3 linked regions of the Mytilus edulis genome follow. The protein of the gene in region 2 interacts with the protein of the main gene of each other region in a pairwise test. Links are inferred from orthologs where the notes say so. Each region holds a gene or a part of one and is shown on either strand. Other genes may lie near its edges. The genes, in order: prenylated Rab acceptor protein 1-like, chaperone Ric-8A-like and syntenin-1-like.

Region 1 (7,738 bases), on a different chromosome or scaffold from region 2:
ACAGAGCCTTGGCTCACACCCAACAGCAATCTACATTATAAAGGGCCCTAAAAATTATTACTACAGTAGTGTAAAACCATTCAAACATGAAAACAAAGGGGCTTATCTATATAAAAAATGCAAAACGAGTATACAAAAGGAGAATTTTTAGACATCTTTCTTACAAACTGAAATGAAATATTAATATTCAATTTATAAGTAGTTTAGACTTTTGTTCGCTAGTATTCATCAGGATCTGCATAAATATCTTGATGAATTGAATTGATTGTCTGCTGATACAGAACACCACTTTCAAAACTCTAAACTATGATCAGATGATAGCAGCAACTTAGCATTTACTTGAGGAAAACCGCACAACTTGCAGACCATGATCTTGCAAAGGAAACCATACAATGGTAATCAATTAAGATTGGAACTAATATGGACCGTACAACACAGACAATGAACAAATGTGAAACAGACATGAATGGAAGGTTAACTGGTAAACAGATATGTCACGAAGGTAAAACGGATAAATGACAATTGAAAATATGTTCATTAATTTTTTTTTGCATTTGTGCAATACAATATGCTGTTAAGATTAGACCCTCCCCCCAAAAAATAATAATACTGGGAGTAACTTTTGAAAATAATTTGACAGCTAATCACCTCCACACAAAACGAACATTTCTTTATAACTAATTTAAAAGCAGAGTAAGGGAGGTAATTCAAACTTAACATTGTACTTAAAAGTAATTGTCCATTAACCAGGAAACCCAAGTGTTTTTCCTCCTTTTTTGGCCCCTCATTCCTACATGGTTTGAGCCATAACCCCCAAAATCAATCCCAACCATCCTTTTGCGATAATAAACCTTGAGTTCAAATTTCATAGATTCTATTTACACATGTATACATACATGTACTTATACATGTCATACTAAAATTATTGTCTGGAAACCAAATGTCTTGGCATGGGAGGACGCTAACGACAACATGATACCAATATAAAACCGCAAAATTCATTGCGGTTGTATGCTAAAAGAATCAGATAAATTGATCCATTTGTTTGGTAGGTGTGACCTTCAACTTTGTCCATCTGATCCCACTTTTGCAAAAGCAAATATAATGATAAAGGGATGGCTCATACTAGCTTATATACCATGTCTATCAGACACGCTCTCGTCATTGCTAATGACAACAGTGCCAAAACTATTTTACAGGCCAGATTCTATCAATTTTTTGCATGTACATGTACAAATGTATATTCAAATTTCGAAAAGTATGTGGATGAAGTCATGCCCTTCTCAAGCACAGCATAAGACTGGAAGCTATTTGCTGAAAGATTTATGTATCATTATTGCCACCAATAATTTTCTGCTTATCTCATTCTTAAATTTTATGCTGAACGCTTCCGTTAGGTGTCCATTTTATCCTGTACATATCCGTTAGGTGTCCATTTTATGTGGTACTTGTCCATTGAATGTACATTCCACATCCGTGTACGTTAGGCATTTGTTATCCGCTTGTTTAATTTGGTCAATACACCTATGCACTTCCAAAGGATACAAATTTGTCAACAGATTTTTTTTACATCCATTTGGCGTCCGTTCAAGCTATCCTGTAAGATTGGACCACAGCTTTTTAATTCATATAGTCTTCTGACTGGTAATTGATGTTTATATGGAGTGGGTAATTCAAAATCTTTTACTATGGAAAATTGGTAGAATGTTGGGGCAAGCCGGTAGGTCTTTTCACCACCGAACACCACCGCACACCGCCGAACACCCCAAAAGTTTATTATTTTGTCTTTTATCGTTATCAATGTGAATTAAATATGATATTCAAGTTATTAATTCAACAAATAAGAAGATTTAAAGTCCAAATATCTACAGAAAACAGAAAGGAAGAGTCTTATAACACCCCACTTTTTGAACTCCGCTGACCCTCATGGACACCTCATTTTTCCCATTTTTTCTTCTTCTAACTCTTCTATAAAATAGTTGTTCCAATAATAATAAAAGAGAAAAATATAAAAATCTAACCAATGAATAGAGATCCAGGATACTTGAACTGATTACTGATTATGAATATATTTGAATTTTATAACACACACAATGTAATCCGGAAAGTGATGAATCCGGAGACGTTTTTTCTTGTAATGATTTACGATTTTAACATCAAAATGATGCCCATAAAAATCGAAAAATTGATTAAATAATATGTAATTTAATTTATTTTATCGTTTTATTGTATGATATCAACGTTTTTCTTAGTGGTTGGTGGTTTTTCAGGTATTCGGCGGTGTTCGGTGGTGTACGGTGGTGTTCGGTGGTGAAAAGACCCACTCTGGGCAAGCTGGTAGTCCAAATAATTATGACGTCTTGAAAGGCTATTATAATTTTTTTCTTTGACGCCTTACTTCGACGACGTCGACGTCGAAGTAAGGCGTCAAAGAAAAAAATTATCATAGCCTTTCAAGACGTCATAATTATTTGGACTAGGCAAGCTGGTCACTCACCATCAGGAGTTTTTGGCAAAAGGATGAGTTGACTGTCAAGAATTCTCAAATATATAGGAAATATAATTTTTAGGTGATGAATATTATTTGGCAATATTATATTTCAATGAAATTGAGAATAGAAATAGGAAATGTGTCGAAGACTAAATTTTGAAAGAGAAAGACAGAAAAATACAACTGAGTCTGAATGTTAAAATTCTGCTCGACCTTTGCAATTATTCAAACTGATTCTTACCCTTTTCCTGTTGAAGAGCTTTGTTTATCTGGAATATCAATGTCTCCTGCTATGTTCCCAAAATCTAACTTTGTATCTGTCATTTCTTGTCAAAACAACACAACAAGCTTTTTGGTATTCAGATGTTGCAGTGATGTGTCAAAATATTTTTGTTGTTCTTTGTGCTATTTGTTTTTGAAAAGGACCTTCTGAATTTAGGATGTTTTTGAATAAATAATAAGGAAAGCAAAGAGAAGATTAATTATGAACAGAAATTACAAAATGCAATTAATAAAATAGTGTTTTTTTCTTACTTAAAACTGTAAAATAGAACATGTACATAAAGCTACAAAAAAAAGTCACGACTTCCATGACGTAGTTCACACTTCCGGTTCAAAATATAGGCTTCTACTTTTTTTTTTTTATCAATGATTCATTCAAATACCAAATAGCTAATAATAGAATGAAAGTCAACTAAGCGGTTTGTCCTGGTCTTTTCACCTAATTCATTTTGACACCGAATATTACATCTAGGTAATGTATCAAAAGTGCATATGATCAATGATGATGTTAATTATATCTTTCCAAACTACATTGTAAGAACACTGTCACTGCCACTGGCACTGTAGTAAAAAAAAAAATTAAAGATTGTGAGTGGGTGTCGATGAGAACGGACGTGAAATTTTTGCAGAGAGAATCCATCAACATCATCCAAATTAGTCTTCTAAATTGCTTTCTTGGATGCATTTTATCATCCATAGATTATATACTTTCAATTTCGGTCATTATTTTCTTGTTGAGGAAAACCTCTGCAGATATTTTTAGGTATGTTTGAGACACGTGCTCTGCCCATATGGGAACCATTAGTAGTTTCCATTGGAAACTATCAGACCTATCATTTGAAGTCTGAGAGTTCTTGCTGTTCTCCTAATGGTTCGGTAGTTTCTTTCCGAGATCCTATTCAGTAGGATTTTCGGCTTTCCTCTACCTTGATACAGCAGGGCATTTGGTAGTGTCGGTTTTGATAGATTTTGTCCTAACCGATTCCTCGTTATTACCTTAGACGTATTTTGCCAAGGCATTTGTGGGGCATCCGGGGTGACCCTCTCCCATTCAAAACACACAGATATTAAAAAAGGATATTTGATACATAGAAAAAATACACTTTTTATACTTTGAGGACTGAGCGAATCAGGTGAGTGTGTGAGTTCGTATGTTTTATTTGATTGCATTGTATTTATGTTTTGGGAAGGTTAACTTTCTGGTAATAAGACCCGTCACGGCCTGGCTGGGGAATTGGGTAGGCAAATGCTCACATTAATCTGTACCGATACAGGCTCCAAATGTCCTCCTTTATACGCCATAACTATGGTGGTGCTCCTATTTAAAGGAGGCTCATACGGAGACAAGAAGAAGAAGAAGTCTGACCAAGGCCTCCTTGTGCAAATTTTGACATTTTCATTTATTTTATAGCTGCATATCTTATAAGAGTTTAAAAATGTCCTTTAACGTCAGACTTATTATTTTTTTGGCTACCTTCAGCATGATAAATGTCATTTTGGATTTTTAGAGTGGGTCTCATTCAGTCATTGGGGACGTATAAGCATGATGCGGGATTGACCATTTTTTGTAAGCGTGACACATGAAAGTCAAATTATTTGTGTCGGGAAAACAGGAAATGAGGTCTTGCGGGACCCGGGAAATGACAAAAAAATTCAGTGATCTGGAAGGTTTTTTTCACTATGGGCCCATGGCCCCTCAAAAATAAATTCAATGGGCCATTTTAAAAAATAATGGGCCATATTGTCAAATGAGAGGGCCATTTGAATTGACTTCGGTAAAAAAAATAAAAAGTATCATTATTTTTTGGCAAAGAGGTGTTGGTACTTACCTTTACGATTTTAAATAATATCATGGATAATAATTGTTCCTGTGATTCTGTAATTTCAATGAATATACAATAAGTTCTTCCAAAGCAGACAATATTAAAGATAACCTTTATTTACAATGTTTAAACTGGTACTGTTGCCTTGGCTTGTTCATGTTCATGTTGGATTTTTTAACAATAAATTTGGGTCTTCGTCGATACCATACTTATTCCAGACGCACTTCCTCTGCACTTCATGTATTATTATTATTACTTTATCATGATGACAGTAGAGAGTACCACTAATTGATAGAACAAAACAATAATTCACTGGTCATGTGTACAAAATGTCAAAACTGGTCAAAGACCAAAAAATGACCAGGAGTTGTAGTTAAGCGCCTTTTATGGAGACAAAAACTATATTCATAAAAAGGCTTCGGGGGTTTTCAATCGAATATAGCAAGGGAAACTAAATTAAAGATTATTATTAGAGTTACATCTCGTCTGTAATAGCCAAATTTCACAAATTTAAAGTTGTTTATAAAAAATTATATCATGAATGATGGTTAATTACGTTTTTTGGGTTATCAGTTAAACCGCATGATTCTATTATTACCATAGGAAAACACCCGAGACGTTAAACCGCATGGTTCTATTACCATAGGAAAACAATGAGACGTCCCAAAAATATATACAGGTGCTCCTATGATTGGAGCAACATTATACAGTTGTGTACACACACATGGCGGCACGGAACACGATCAGAAATCCATTTGACGATATCTAAACATTTCGAAACGATGTGAAAAATATCGTGCGCCACGTGGGCGCTTACATTTGTCACTCTATGCGCCATTTCTGGTCAATATGCGCTATAGGCGCAGGGCGCACGACCTTCCCGATCACTGATTAAAAATGAGAATTGCTTACGTACATACATGTAGTGAAGCGAGATATGGGAATCTGACAAAACAGTAAGCGGAATCCGGGATCTGAACCCCCCAATGAGACCCCCTTTAGAAACAGTGAGCTTTTGCCATCACTTTGTGTCCATCGTTGTCTGTCATCATCTGTCTGATGAGAACTTTTTCAAAAATCTCCTCTGAAAGCACTGAACCAATTCCTACCAAACTTAAGCTGAATTATCCGTAGGGTAACTAGACTGAAGTTTTTGTCTTATTTTTTGTTTTGTCAAAAAACATGGCTGCCATGTCTAAAATAGAACATAGAGGGAAAATGCATTTTTTTACTTAAATCTCAAAATCAAAGCATCTAGAGAAAATAATGACATGGGGTTAAAGTGTTGCTTAGGTGAAGTTTAAATCAGCTCTGAAATTTCATAAATCCATTGTTGGGTTGCTGCTGCTAAATTGGTAATTTTAAGAAAATTTTGCAGTTTTTGGTTATTATCTTGATTATTATTAAAATGATATAGATAAACTGTTAACAGCAAAAATGTTATTTTTTCTTATTTGAAAGCATATTAATTATTAGACCTTTCTTCTGATAATTTATTTTGATTAAATTTATAACCTAAAAGTTAGCCTTAGAGCAATGTTATGAAACTCATACAACATGCTTATTACCACAAATACAGATGAAGATGTGTCACTTTTACTGTTCTAGAGTAATGCTCCATTACCAATGAAAAAATTATACACATAATGACATTCCCCATTTATTTTAATTTAGCTTCAACAAAATCTATACTTGTGGTTGTTATAGCATAGTGTTTCCCAGACTACATTTCAGTTTAAAAGATACAGTTTGTAGAATAAAGTTATTAACTATAAAACTTCTTCTTCATTTTAATTTTTTTTTTGGCAGAATGACTGCCTCTACAGGAATAACAATGGTTGAGGCAATTCATCAAAAATATGATGATGATGTGGAAACATGTATACATATACACATACCAGCTTCAGCTCCAGGGAAAACAGGTAAACATTATTGTCATGATGGTATGCATGTACAATATACATATATACACATACTAGCTTCAGCGCCTGGGAAAACAGGTACATGTACATGTCATGATGAGTATACATGTAAGCACATGCACCAGTGGATAACTGAACAAAATATCTGATTTTATACTAGTGTAATACTCAAAGACTGTGTCTGCCTAACATACTTTCTTGAATTGAGATTTGCTGTCAATTGCAAAGTTTAAGTAGTCTGTTCTGTTTGCAGTTAGTATTATTGTAGTAAAAAGTATAAATATGTCAGTTAGTCTTTCTTCCCATAATACGTAGTAACATTTTAAATAAATTTGTTTCTCTTTAGAAGATGAGAACTTAGTAAGTTTTATCTTTTCTCTCTGTAGTGTAGTTATACTTAAGCTTCAAACAATAGAGATTTGAAAAAAAGTCTGCAGTGAATTGTTTCTTCTTCTCAAAAACAGCAAATGCATTTCAGCCAATGTGACTATCATGACTATGAAGTATAGATGTTCATTTTGTATTTACATTTTTGTAGTCACTCTATTAGTCTATTTAGGGATCCTAATTAATATATAATACACATGTATAAAAATAAGGAGATATTGTATAAATGCCAATGAGGGAAAAAAAATGTATCAGGGCCTTAAATGCAGACCGACATGAAGAGGATAGGTGTGGTGAAGGTGAGCCAATGAGACAATATTGGCCATCAAAAAATAGAATAACATTTAAGTTGGATGCTTTAATGAATAAGGATGCATAACCTGTTGGTGACCTTCTGCTGTTGTTTTTTCTATGGTCGGGTTGTTGTCTCTTTGACACATTTCCAATTTCAATTCTCAATTTTATTCAATTATGGCAATTATATAAAAGTAAGAAGATGTGATATAAATGCCAATGAGAATGTATCTATCCACCAAAGTTTAAATGAATTTGATGTAAACAATAATAGGCAAAACAATAAACTAAAAACTGCTACCCCTGAATTACAGTTTCTTGACTAAAACAAGGCACATATAGAATGGGGCAGGGTTAAATATGTTTGAAAACACCAACCCACCCCCTAACCTTGGATAGTGGTGGAACATATAAGAAGAACAACATATATCATTAATGACTTTAAAGTTGAAGTCAAATTGTATGATTAAAGACCTTACTACCTTTTCCTAGAGGACATAAGTGAGCTTGTCGCATATGGGGATCTTTATTTAATTGAC
Region 2 (7,478 bases):
ATTGTTATCAGCTATTTCAAAATCAAAGATGGAGGGAGACATTCAGGCTACCTTGAGCCTTACAAACCCAAAGCAATGTCATGTTTACAAAATTTCAGGGTTTTGGGCTATCAAACTGTCAGATTAAGAAAAATTAATATGTACCTGTTTGGCTTCTAATTTCAGATCTGGAAAACTGAAGGTCTGTGCATGCTGAAAGTATCAAAGATATGATTCACAATTAAGCAGTCAGAGCTCAGACATAAATAAGTCTAAATCTGCTTTTGACTCACAGAGGTCTAAACTTGAAGGTTTTAAAATTTGTCTCCCTTTAATTTAAGACAAATTATGACGTCGAATAGTGTTTAGCAAAAAATATTTGACCTGAATTAAAAAGTTGCAAATATTGACTCCTACAAGTCAATAAGTTACCAAAATTGATAATTTTCAAAATCCAAGCATATTTAAAAAAAAGTTCAAGCATCTACATGAAATTTTGACAACATTGGAAGACAATGCTTTGTCTTCTAAATAAAAATATGCATGCGAGGCTAAAAAAATGGAATTGATGTTTATTTACTTATCAACATGATCAATGCAACCATCTTTAATCACACAAAATAAGGAAAATAATTTATGCTAAGTAAAAATGTTCAATAAGATAATTACATATAGATATATTAAAACATATATATAAAAAGAATTCAGACATCAACATTAATCAGCAGTAATTAGCATTTTCTTTCAATTGACTGTGATCCTAACAAGTCTTTTGTCTTGTGTAATAACAAATAGTTACACACACAACGGTACAAGCCGATCCCCAAGCTGATACATACAAACTTAAAATATGTCATGGTGTGTTATTTGGCTTAAATTTGTGTTAGTGTTATTTTGGATAAAAAATATGTTTTATTTTAAGAAAGAAAATTTTATGTTTGTATTTAGTAAAATATTAATTAATTTGTTTAATTGATTTTACCTATGCTGTGGCATTAATACTCGAAATGTAACAGTTTGCTCAAAGCACTTTATTTTGAAATATAAATTGCAATTAACATATGTCACTTTGAAAGTTTAGATTTTTATCAAAACATTACAGGATTATCCTTTGTCAATTAAAGTATATTTTTGCTAATGAGAGTATTATGAATGTGTCAAGACATATTTATTTATTTTAGATTTTGGTATAAATATTGTTGTGAAATTTTGGAAAGGCAGTCAGTGTTTCGGAAGCGTAACCTCACACTACTAACGTCATTATACTGGACCTATAAGACTGTCTACCAGTTGGCGGTGTAGTGTTAAGACAAAATTTATCTCTGACTTATAAATTTAACTTTAGAAAATACTTTTGAGAAACTTTTATTTTGAGACTTTTATATTTTGAAATTGAGATTAAGTACATTTTATGTTTTAGTAGTTTTGGCATTTATTTTTATATTTTACATTTTAAGGAGAAATAACTTTACTTTGGATTTGATATTTAGATTTGATACTTTGTACTTTGATTAGATTATTATTATTATTATTTGGAATTGTTTACAAATTGATTTGTTATCATCATTCGACTAAGTTTTTATAGTAATCATGGTAATTAAATTATGAAAACCTTCCTTGCGTTTTAGCTATGCCTATCAGAACATTAAGTCTAGCCATAGACTGACCCCCTGTTCCTTCGTTCCATCACATACGAGTAAGCTCCCCCTTATCTAACAGTGCTCTCGAGTGGACCTTGGTGACAGATATATTGACTATATTCAATATTACAAAAAAAAAGTGTTATATAGAAGCCTCTGATGTTACCTGAAATAAAATTACAATTAATTATTATTATATACACCAAACAAAAGATCAAATTATAAAGACATACCTGTCAACTGACCCGTATTCTGCGGGTGTGACCTGAGATTTTCACAATTCTGAGGGATCACCCGGGTCACCCGCCGGGTTATTGAATAACCTGGGAATTCCGAAAATGACCCGTTTTCACCCGTATTTCTTAGCCATGAGATTGATTTCTTAGGTAATAAACCTTTGAAATACCAGCAAATTCGTCCATGAACAGGAAGTTCATCTAGCTGTGTAAACTGTCAAATTAAGTGACCCATTAAGTGCTTGGCTTTACTTGACAGCTTTGGTGTCAAACACAGTGTTAATTAACACCAATTACCTTAGCTTTAGGTCGTAAATAAATTGCACTGTTGTTTTACAAACATATTTCAACTATAATAATATATCAACTGAAATTCAGCTGGAAAAAGTTTGTACGCATTATGACCTGAGATTTGATTCTTCAATGCAGGTCATGACCTACATTTTCATCGTCACAGGTTGACAGGTATGTAAAGACCTTGTTGATTACGCAACTTTAATTAATCGATCGGGATTTGATTGAATTAAGTGATTATTACGAGTGGCATTACCTTAGTTCACAATCATTAGACAATTGTTGAATAAACAAACCAATTGTAGACTAATGATTTCGTTTATATATACTGTTCAAATTTGTCAAAAATTCCTCCATATAGTGAATATAGTTTTTTCATATTTTATTATGGGGCCGGATCGACTTGGGTCCGGATCGACTTGGACCGGATCGACTTTGGGCCATATTGACTTGGGGCCGGATCGGTTTGGGGCCGAAAAGACCGGATACCAGTGATCTATAGATGTTAATTTTTGTGTCTTTTGGTCTCTTGATGAGAGTTGTCTCATTGGCAATCACACCCCATCTTCTTTTTTATAATATATTTCATTTTAAGATTATTCTAGAAAAAAAGATGAATTTCTAAAGAGAAAACTGGTACTTGACCAATAAAAGGTCTTTGATACGGAATACTGTTCCAAATAATAATAATAACTTATATGTTTTGAATTGACTTATTTCCATTCTTACAAATGTATATATAGTCCATACCTTTGTTGTTAGTTCAAGTAGCACACTGCATGCTTCTTTGTCAGATCCACTGTTTAAAATACGCAAGCACCTGTCGTCAATATTCATTTTGATAACAGAATATTGCTAAATAATATGTTTGTTTATGATATTCAGTGACATCTTCAGCTTCATCATTTTATGCGATTTCAAATAGTGTTCTGCAGTTATAAATAAGTGCGTGCATATACAGCTTTTATGTCTTACGGAATCAACATGTAATACAATACAATACAATATTTTTGTTTTCCATATTAATTAAAGGGCCAATTAAGAGCATAACATTAATTACAACATGACATAAACATTACAGAGTGATTAAAGAAACGTAAAATAATAATTCAAATGCTTGAGGAAAGGATCTTCTTCTTCTTCTTCTCTATGTAAATTCCTCCGCAACGGAGCACCCGTGTCACACGGTAACAGAAAAAAACCCTTATTTTTATTTATTACTGTTTAAAAATATGGAGCAAACCAGATTAGAATATATACAATCCTTAAAAGATTATCGTTGTCCTAAAACCGTTTTTTAATGTAAAAACTAACATAAAAATATTTACACCTACTATTTTATGTACATTAAGCATATAATAATGTTAGTCAAAATATCTTAAAACGTACAGATTAAAAAGGAGTGAAATAGATTTACTGGTAAAAGGTAAAAGGACATAGTTTATTCATTTATTTCTTGACAGAAAAATAAAAGGATTATAAAAATATAGATTGGTATTTAATGATCTGGGATTTATCATTACTATGTACACGACTAAAATTAAAATTAACTGTTATGTTACTGTACAGAACATGCAGAATTTATATCAGTTTATTTCCATTTAACCAGTTGTTCTACAGTTAAAATAGAGGTTGATAATATAGAATCATAATACTTTTATAAAATCTAAAATATTTGATCTGAGATATTACCAATTTAGGCCTTTTAAAAAAAACTAAAATATTGTATATTCCTTTTTGTGTTACATTGCCCAATTAAGTTTACTCTTAAGCTTCCTTTTAAGATATATGTCTGATAATTAACTAACTCAATTTTTATTTTTGGGGGTAAAAATTAATTAATAGTTATCTAGACATTGCACCCGGGGTCTTTTGCCTCAGACTGCTTTGATACTGCCATCCTTTTGTGTAATAATGTTCTGCCACAATGGAGGTCATAGCACAGTTTTCTGCTTATTCTTTCTATCTCTGTTGTAATTTCTTCGTCGAGAATTTGAATATTTTCCCGTACTTTGGTTGAGTCAATAATTATTTGCATTAATAGTTCTTTGTTTCCATTGAAGTGCAAAGGTCAAAGGTCAAAGGTCAATTAAGGGGAGATAATTTTGATTTTCTAAGTTGCAGGCCTTTATCAATGCTCGATAACGAAATGTATCATTTATCAACTTTGTTTAATCTACAGGGGCGGATCCAACCATCTCAAAAAGGGGGGTCCCAACGCCGAGTAAAGGGGGATTCCAACTATATGCTCCCATTCAAATGCATTGATCGTCCAAAAAAAGGGGGTTCCAACCCCCGGAACCACACCCCCCCCCCCTGGATCCGCCAATGATCTACATATGCGTCGCTTAACAGGTATGTATTTCTTAATAGCCTAATAGTCAACGATGTGTAATTACGAAATATTAGAATTTTCATGAAAACAATAAAGAGGTACAACAGTGAATTAAGGGGGCTCGCGGGTATAAATTTTTTTTTTCTAATATAAGATTTTGCCATGCAGATAGGAAAAGGAAGGAAAATAAAATAAATAACTTTATTTATACAGTGCATGCCATTTTCTTAAGTTTATGGTCCACCAGTAATGCTTCTGTCACAACAAAAGACGATTCCTCCTGCCAGTGCTTTCTTAATGTTTTTCCGCAAGTATACATTCACCAAGTTATTGCTGTAATGCCAGAATCGAACTCATTTGTAAATTCAAAAGAAAATAAACCCAGAAACCCCTAACGCCAGGGCATAGTCGAAATATGTATAGCGCAACTGCATGTTAATAAATCATATATATATAATTAACGGCGTACATGTTCCTCATGCATGACAAAACTTGAAATAACACAAAAAAGTAAAATCACAAATACTGAACTCAAATCATCAATTGTGCAAAAAGATGTACTACTGCGGTAAACATGCTGGATGTCAGGAGATTTAGAATAATAACCAAATTTCATATCAATATGATATTACACCATGCCAGCACGATCTTCTCACCGACAATTATATAACTGTATAAGAATAAGCTTAAAATCTAAAAGGATATTTTATACACAATAAGTATCATTATTTTGAAAATGTCCTTAATGATATTCATTCAAAACATCGACTCAGTACGCAGATCTGAGTGCAAGTGTATCATTTTTTTCATTGTTTAAATTTACTGTGTGTATAATAAATGAATACATGTTGTCAAAGTGCATCTCTTAGACAATCAATAGGTAGTCATTTGAGGCAACCGATACTATTGTCTAATTATTAGAGGAATTGCGAAAAGACTCTAAATCAGAAGGTTAAATGAAAGAACCAGTGGATCGTTAAAATGCACTTTTCATCCATTGGCTCATTATATCTTTTTACCTAACCATTACTAATCTATTTAGTCTCCTTAACATAACTTCAAACATAAAGTTTTAAGGAGGCTCGCGGGTACAAAAATTTCTATTTATTACACTATTAGTTATTACTTTATGATATGGTACAAAAATCAATAAAAAAAAACCATTCGGTTTGGCCCCAGATGACTGTTATCAAAATGTATTTATATCATTGAAAAAGCTCCAAATTATCTCCCTTTGGTGCAAAAATGCCATTTTTTTGGCATTAAAATTGAAATATTTTTTTTAACTCATCGGTTACATATATTTTTTATTATTGTTTTCAAAAAAGCTGTTCATAAACTAAATAATTGTAAAATTTTAACGATTTCTGTAATTTAGTTCTTTTTTTTTTATTTCGATACTACCTTTTTTTCTCCTATTAGTTCTGAGACTACTATAACACGTGGTCTCAGATTAGTTCAACCAGAGACATATATGTGTATATATGTCTCTGGTTCAACAGAAAAAAAGTACATTAACAAACATTTAATATGCTTCTTTCGGTGGCAGATTGTCAACTTAAATGAACGGTGACCCCATTTTTTTATTTCATTTTTCTATTAAGTATATGATAAAGTTCATTTATAAAAAAAAATATAGGGTAGCACTTTTTTATTTTTTATATGGTTCTTTTTTTATTATTATTCTAGGCGTTAGTATTTAGGATTTGATTGATTCTTCACACTTATGCTGCTGTCCTAACCTCGAAATATGCATATTTGCAATTTTAAACAAAATATATTATAAGCTTAATTTCTGAGATGTTTTGACGTTCATTTTATTCAAAATTTAACTTTTTAAAAATAACATTTGACACTATCTTTTTACTACCCTTATAACATGAAGCCATGAATATTCTCAGTCAATACTTTATGCCTTAAAATTGAATGTTTTGTTTCTCTCTGTCTAACAGTGTATAAAAGAGAAGATGTGGTATGATTGCCAATGAGACAACTGTCCACAAGAGACCAAAATGACACAGACTTTAACAACTATAGGTCACCGTACGGCCTTCAACAATGAGCAAAGTCCATACCACATAGTCAGCTATAAAAGACCCCGATAAGACAATGTAAAACAATTCAAACGAGAATTACTTAAATAATGTGGCGGGTTAAACATGTTAGCCGGATCCCAACCCTCCCCCTAACCTGGGACAGTGGTATAACAGTATATAGTTAATATGCTACACGTTTATTGACAATCTTTGCCTGGTCTTATCATATTTAGTTTTTTCTCCATGTTTGCTTTTGTAGATTCTAGGACTGGCGAATTTGAAAATGAATCTTAACTTTTGAAATATTTTGTAATACTCAGAGATGTATAAATTAATGCAATATCTAGTTCACTTTTTGTTTGGCAGAATCAAAACATCAACTTGTGTTTAAGCTCTCCGGTTCAAAATATATAGTGGATTCGAAGCTCTTCGGCCTAGAGTAACTTCAGTGTTTTATATTTGGATTCAAGTTGTACAAGGGACAGTTTCAGTGATCAATTATCAATAACAGTTGTTTCTTTCTTTCTTCTTCATGAATTCATGAATATCAGGACGATCTTCTTTCCAAATCCCTTCGCTGCAATCATATCTTATATTAATATTTCATATTTTTGAATAAGATAAGAACTAGCGGTAATGATATCAATTATTTTAAGGAAAGATTAGAACATTTAATTTTGAATCAAAATGTGTGTTGAAATTGAGTCTAAAACTGTTTGCCATATATAAGGTAACTTGTTATGGTTTAATTTCGGTGATTTGAAAATGAGAATATCGATATATTTTTTTTTTCAAAATATGCTGATATTCAAACATTCGACTGCTTACGGATTCATTTTGTTTTATATCATATTTATGAACAACCTTCGATTTTATATGCGTTCAATTGTTCTTAATTCATTCGCCTTAGCTGAAAAAAAACCCAATCATTTACGTATGTTGATATCACAAAAGCAAC
Region 3 (7,421 bases), on a different chromosome or scaffold from region 2:
ATTCCTTTTGTGATTTTTTAAAAATTATTTTGAATGAATTTGTAGATAAATGACTTACACTGTTGATATGACGTAATCTAAGACCTATTTTGTAGATAAATGACTTACACTGTTGATATGAAGTAATCTAAGACCTATTTTGTAGATAAATGACTTACACTGTTGATATGACGTAATCTAAGACCTATTTTGCCATCACCATCCTTACATGCTACTAGTTCCCTAACACCTCCTTTGATTTCAGCTCTTACTAAACCTTTGTTTCCTTGTCCAGTTATTGGTGCAATCATAGACTGACTAGGACTTGGTGTAGTAGCTATCTGCATATTCTGAAACATTTAATAAATACTTATATACAATAGACTATTAGTGTTTCCAATCAAATTAGAACTTAAACATTGACTCCAGATATTTTTCCTATATTCTTTTTCTTTCAGTGAATTTCGTATTGATTATAGATGTTTCAGTCTTCAATGATTTATTAGTGAAAAAAATTGATAATCTATTCTTGAAAGTGAGAGAGAAAATTGAAAGATACTTCGGTATGCTCTAAGCCTTAATAAATGTTTACTTAACAATATTTAAATTAAAATGCAGATTAGGAAAAAAAACTTTTCAGTTTGCAGGATTTAAAACTTACATGTGCTACTACTGGCATGTTTTGTTCAAGAAACTCTGGAGTGAGATTTAATCCCATGTACTCTCCTAGTGAGGGATACAGAGATGATCCACTCTGTTGTGGGTAGGGAGCTGCTGTTCCTTGTTGTGGGTAGGTAGCAGGTGCCCCTTGTTGAGGGTATGTGATTGGTTGACTTGCAGCTGATGACTCATACTGATGCTGAGCCTAAAATATAAGAGATACATTTTGGTTGTTCTTGTCAATTTAGAATTTATAAACAAAGTACATTTTACACATAAAATGGAACACAGCACTTTTAAATGAAGTACACTAAAAGGATATAATATTATCAGGTAAAGAATGTGCATCATAAATTTAATATAACTGAAGCTGTAAACAAATATACCTAACAATTTTAAATAATCACAAAATAACTGACAAAATACATGTAATTAACAACTAAAACAGGGCCTTGCCAGGACTTTTCTAAATCAATGACATTTAAACCCTACCTGTTGCATCTGGTCAACCTTCATATCTTCTAATGTTGGGTATAAACGAGACATCTTGTTTTACTTAAGTAGATCTGAAAAGAAAAAATGTATAATTCAAATGATTTAATTTATTAAAACATACAAATGTACATTTACATGTATAAATTTCGTAAATATGACATTTTGCTACATCAGCGTATTAGACCTTTCAGAACATATGGAACATGCACAACATAAAGCAGCAATTAATCAAAAAATTAATCTTTGAGCTGTGGATTTCAAATGTATTGTCATCTAATAGCCTATTAGATGAGGGGTATGGTACTACAGATGGGTCTGTCAGTAAGCTTAAGGTTCTATTTATCTTTCATAATACTTCCACTTTTGAAAAAAATATTTGGAAAACATTTTTGATTTTTACTTTTTTCCATCAACAGAATGTTGTATGTAAATCTAAATATGAATATTGCTGCTACATGTTGTAAATTTATCCCCATTTGAATTTGCAAATCACACATCAGATGCATGTATACAGTATTATTAATGTATTTACAAACGTAAATTGATAAGTATTCTAGATTTCATTGTTTTTTGCAGTGAAGACAACTGCATATATAGATAACTATCTTTTCATTAAAACTGTACATTTGGTGAATGTGAGATTTTCATAGACAATAGACAATAGACAATATTTTATTGGCACAAACGAATTTTCAAAATCAAACCAAACACTTGAATTACAGATTTCCAAACTGTAATAAAGGTGAGGAAATAGGATATACATTGTCATGACTTTCAGGAAGTTGTTTATTCATTATTGATCTTAAAAAACACACACCTTTATATTCTAGTACTGAAACTGTAGATCAAATTCTTTCTGTTAGACAGCATGTTATATGAGTATTTTAAACACCAAGTTGCATTTTTTTAACCTATGTTTCCTTAATCAGCATAATAATCAATTTGACATTTATTATTGTTGTCAATTATTTATTTTTCTGAATTAGAATTAAGGTTCATCATAACCTTTTGGCTAAAATGGCCGTATTTACACCCTAAATTTTACTCTGAGTACAGACTAACCTATACACCTGCAAAAGTTTTAAGGGATGGCAGGAACTAGATATATAAATTTTAAATGCATTTTATGTTTCAGAAAATTATAAACTTTTCTAGATTTTGCTATCCATTTTTTTTCGTTCCTGCAGAAGGTGCAAAAATTAACTAAGTAGTGAAAACGATTGAGAATCTCCCCTCATATAATCAATGTTGTGAGTAGTATTGATTTAAATGGACAATAGATGGACAATAGACACCTGTAAACAATAGGTGTTTTAACAGGTTTAAACTGTGTAACTGAGTGGACCGTATCAAATGAAACTCGGGTGTTTGTTTATTTTGCTATCTTCTGCAGACTGGAAAAAAATGAACATCAAAATCCAGGTAAGTTTTTAATTTTCTGAAACGTAGACTTCATATAACTTTTATATATCTAGTTCCTGCCATGCCTTAAAACTTTCCTGGATGTACCAGTTTGTCTGTACTCATAGTAATTTTGGAGGTGTAAACACGGCCATATTTTTCAATTCCTTATGATGAACCTTAATGCTTGATCATACTTTAATAACAAAATCAATTAAAATATTATCTAGTACCTGTTATCGACAATAATTCGATTTTCCTCTTGACAATATTTCTTCTTGAATGAAAGGTAGATATGTATTTATGTGTCTTTTGTGAATATTATGACTATTACCCCTTTCACAATGTCTCCTGATTAGATGACGTCATTAGTCATGTGCCCTTGACTTTCACTTCTAATTTTAGTAACAGTAAACATCACGATGCTTCCGGTGACCATTGTTTATCAAATATAAAATAAAAAATTATGTGAACAGATTGATATTTTTTTGTTTCAGTTGCCAAAACCTATCTTTAAAATGAGATATTTTTTTTTATAAAATGTTGACCCCCAATCAAACCGGAAGTAATCCCTAAAATGGCCATCACCGATCATGGCCACCAAAACAGATGAAAGTGTAACTGGACAAAAATACACACGACAGCGCAGTAACAGTGATCCTCAACCAAACCTGGACGAACAAAAAGACACACTGTCTGTCAAGGGTAATAATAAACAAATTTCTATCAAATCAGCCATTAAACAAAGAGAAAATGTCCCCACCCCGGTCGATATAAACTTTAAAATTCCAGTTCAAAATTTAGTCACTTCCTTTGTCAATTTTCACAATAATTGAATTGGTTGAACTTATTAAATCATGTATTGAAAATTTGTATGTCAAACAGTTACTTCTTGACAGAATTATGATTAAGGATGTCCTGTTTTCTATTCCATCTTTCATTCAAATAATATGAGACTCCTAATTTTAGGTACCTGTCACTTTGTCAGTTTCAACAGACAACAGTGAAACACTGCGTGTATCAATTGTCTAATGACAATGGCTATTGGTAACATATAAAGAAATAAGTTGCTCCTGTATTTTGTTATCGGAAATTAGTCTTTACTTGCAATTTTTAATAGACATTTTGAAAGTTTTTTTTAAATGCCTTTCAAATTGCATTGATTGTTTTCTACATGTTCTACTGTTTATTTAGTCTAATCAGAGACTTTACTTCAAAGTGTGTCAACCCTTAATTACTTGCGTCACAAATGGGGACCCCTTACAACATCTGTGAACATCTTGCTTTTAACCGATCTAAAGTTTTTTTTAAAAGAATTAGTTAAATTACCACAGTTGACCGTAGGTCAATCATTTTGAACTGTGACATACATGGAAAAAAAAATGCTTTTTGTTGTCGTGTCACAATAACCATAACCTATGACAAGTTTACTCAGAATTACTCGGGTCTCCAGGTCATTCATCAAATTGAGATTTGAATCTTAGTGACATCGGATGTTCCAATTTTAATTGTCTTGGTAGGAAGCTGAATTATAAAAGGGTTTGTCTGAGCTGGAATTCTGAGATAGTTTTCACTATGCATGTACTTTGTGGATGCTAAAGATTTTCTGTTGATATTTCAGCTAGACGGTGTACGTATGTCTTTAAAAAATGAAATAGGCCTGTTTTGTCTCCCCTATCTTTCAGGGGTTCTTTTTTAATTTTCTGTAGAAAATGTCTGGTTGTTGTGGGATGGTGATGACACTTGTACTACCATGACTACCATGAATGACATTTACATGTTAATTTTCACAGCCATTATTTCTTCAAAAGGCATGTAGCCTGTCGTTGTGAATGTTGTTCTTTTCAAAATACAGCATCACATTTGAGCAAATGATATATTGCAATAGTTTTCATAAAAATACAATTAGGTAGAAGTGAGACTGGTATATAAATTATAATTTGGATTGATTTATAAACTTGTGTAGTAGTTGTTCTTTGTAAGTAAAATGTCCAAGTATCAATTGACATACAAGTTATAAATGCATGAACTCTGAACTTTTGTAATGTTACTCTGCATTAGAGTAGAAACTTGTTAATTTATTTCCCTCACTTTCAAATTCAAATAATTGACTTACAAAGGAATTTTATAAAGACATTCAAGCATTTCAAGGCAACAAAAATTTCATAAAACCAAAGAAAGATTCTCTGCTTGTATTTGAAGCAAGAGAACCTTGAGAGAAGCATTTGAGTTTTATGATAACTATATTGCACTTGAGACAATCAATGAAGTCAAGATGCAAATGCATCTATACTAGAAGTTGAAGATGACAGAAGATTTCAGAGTGTTGAGAACAATTTACGTGGGGATCATATGTTTTTGTTATAAAATAATTATGTGTTTATTTTTGTTTTCTTCTCATAGATCTTTGTTGAAATGTGTCCTTTGCATGTTACTGAACTGTCTATTAAGGAGTATTAACACATATCAAGCTCAATAAGTTAAATGTGACTAATATTTTTAAAATCAATCTGCCACTAACATGACATATTAAATTTTTATCTCGCCCTGCTTTTTTTTATACGACCGCAAAAATTGAAAATTTTTTGGTCGTACATGTATATTGGTATCACGTTGTCCTCGTCGTCCGAAGACATTTAGTTTTTGCATTCTAACTTTAGTAAAAGTAAATAGAAATCTATGAAATTGAAACACAAGGTTTATGACCATAAAAGGAAGGTAAGGATTGATTTTGGGTGTTTTAGTCCCAACAGTTTAGGAATTAAGGGCCAAAAAAGGGCCCACATAAGCATTTTTCTTGGTTTTCGCACCATAACTTTAGTATATGAGTAAATAGAAATCTATGAAATTTAAACACAAGGTTTATGACCATAAAAGGAAGGTTGGGATTGATTTTGGGAGTTTTGGTCCTAACAGTTTAGTGATTAGGGGCCCAAAGGGTCCAAAATTAAACTTTGTTTGATTTCATCAAAAATTGAATAATTTGGGTTCTTTGATATGCTGAATCTAACTGTGTATGTAAATTCTTAATTTTTGGTCCTGTTTTCAAATTGGTCTACATTAAGGTCCAAAGGGTCCAAAATTAAACAAAGTTTGATTTCAACAAAAATTGAATTCTTGGTGTTCCTTGATATACTGAATCTAAACATGTACTGAGATTTTTGATTATGGGCCCTGTTTTCAAGTTGGTCCAAATCAGGATCCAAAATTATTATATTAAGTATTGTGCAATAGCAAGAAATCTTCAATTGCACAGTATTGTGCAATAGCAAGTTTTTTCAATTGCACAATATTGTGCAATAGCAAGAAATATCTAATTGCACAATATTGTGCAATAGCAAGAAATTCCAATTGGATTTCAATTGGAGTTATCTTTCTTTGTCCAGAATAGTAGTTGAATCAACTTAAATCATTGTTTTATACAATACAATATACAATGTATATTCACTTTTAAAAATGTACTACCAACTGATAAATTAAAACAATCTTTACCATTCAGTGATAACAAGCACTTTTTTTACATTTTAATATTTTATGATGTATTTAAATGAGTAGTTATTGTTGAAAACTCCATTAGAAATTTGAATTGAGATCAGTTTTGGAAAAAGGGAAAGGGGGATGTGAAAAAAAATTGGGCTGCGGGGGAGGGGGGGGGGTAAATTTTTCTCATTACAGATTTCATAAATAAAAAGAAAATTTCTTCAAACATTTTTTTGAGAGGATTAATATTCAACAGCATAGTGAATTGCTCAAAGGCAAAAAACAAATTTTAAGTTTATTAAACCACATTCATTCTGTGTCAGAAACCTATGCTGTGTCAACTATTTAATCACAATCCAAATTCAGAGCTGTATCCAGTTTGAATGTTGTGTCCATACTAGGCCCAACCGTTCAGGGTCGACCTCTGTAGTCATATAAAGCTGCACCCTGTGGAGCATCTGGTTAACTTTGTAACTGTTGTTAATAGGCAGATATCACTGTTTATCAACAGCATTTTTGCTGGTGGGTTTAAACATAATCATTGAATGAAGTCATATATATATAGCAAATTTATGTATTGGAAAGCTGAGCTATTGATCATAAGGCCTACATTTATGTAGGTCTCCTCATATAAATAAATCTGAGTAAATGTATAATACATTCATCCTTGTGTTTCAGTCCCTGAATAGGTTAACTTTTGTGTCATTACATACATGACATTAGGGTCCAGGCAAACAAAACTTCCAGACTAGTCAGACTCTACAGGCTCACTTGATTTCAAAACTGAGCAAAATGTAGACAAATACTTTGATAAATTCTGCCTAACCAGATTAGTTATAAACTTGACAGTCCCATATTTTTGTACAGATTGAAATATATTTTGTTACAGAAAAGTTTTAATCAATATCTGCAATTAGCTAATCAACTATTTCTTTCAAGGTTAACCATCTGCAATTTATAAGAATTTAAAAATTTAAAATGAATTATAGTGTTTCAAACATGTAAATGTAAAAAAAAATTATTAAAAATTCGGCAATTTTTATACGACCGCAAAATTTGAAAATTTTTTCGTCGTATATTGCTATCACGTTGGCGTCGTCGTCGTCCGAATACTTTTAGTTTTCGCACTCTAACTTTAGTAAAACTGAATAGAAATCTATGAAATTTTAACACAAGGTTTATGACCACAAAAGGAAGGTTGGGATTGATTTTGGGAGTTTTGGTCCCAACATTTTAGGAATTAGGGGCCAAAAAGGGCCCAAATAAGCATTTTCTTGGTTTTCGCACTATAACTTTAGTTTAAGTTAATAGAAATCTATGAAATTTTGACACAAAGTTTATGACCACAAAAGAAAGGTTGGGATTGATTTTGGGAGTTTGGTTCCAACAGTTTAGGAATTAGGGGC

Evidence for each region.
Region 1: the proteins of chaperone Ric-8A-like (region 2) and prenylated Rab acceptor protein 1-like interact in binary tests that used the Homo sapiens proteins (3 or more experiments, as listed by UniProt). The link is inferred for Mytilus edulis from reciprocal best matches to the Homo sapiens genes RIC8A and RABAC1.
Region 3: the proteins of chaperone Ric-8A-like (region 2) and syntenin-1-like interact in binary tests that used the Homo sapiens proteins (3 or more experiments, as listed by UniProt). The link is inferred for Mytilus edulis from reciprocal best matches to the Homo sapiens genes RIC8A and SDCBP.

What each region holds. Positions count from the first base shown.
Region 1 is NC_092348.1:82,591,693-82,599,430, reverse strand, and holds the start of prenylated Rab acceptor protein 1-like, read right to left. Parts: upstream 3,107-7,738; 5' UTR 2,816-3,106; coding exon 2,733-2,815; intron 1-2,732. Other genes in the region: tubulin-specific chaperone cofactor E-like protein, read left to right, coding at 6,407-6,518. UniProt on the Homo sapiens protein: General Rab protein regulator required for vesicle formation from the Golgi complex. May control vesicle docking and fusion by mediating the action of Rab GTPases to the SNARE complexes.
Region 2 is NC_092350.1:6,076,682-6,084,159, reverse strand, and holds the start of chaperone Ric-8A-like, read right to left. Parts: upstream 3,102-7,478; 5' UTR 2,987-3,101; coding exon 2,900-2,986; intron 193-2,899; coding exon 145-192; intron 1-144.
Region 3 is NC_092344.1:80,941,828-80,949,248, reverse strand, and holds the start of syntenin-1-like, read right to left. Parts: upstream 3,004-7,421; 5' UTR 2,733-3,003; intron 2,140-2,732; 5' UTR 1,186-2,139; coding exon 1,132-1,185; intron 845-1,131; coding exon 641-844; intron 330-640; coding exon 159-329; intron 1-158. Other genes in the region: phosphatase and actin regulator 1-like, read left to right, coding at 3,129-3,240. UniProt on the Homo sapiens protein: Multifunctional adapter protein involved in diverse array of functions including trafficking of transmembrane proteins, neuro and immunomodulation, exosome biogenesis, and tumorigenesis.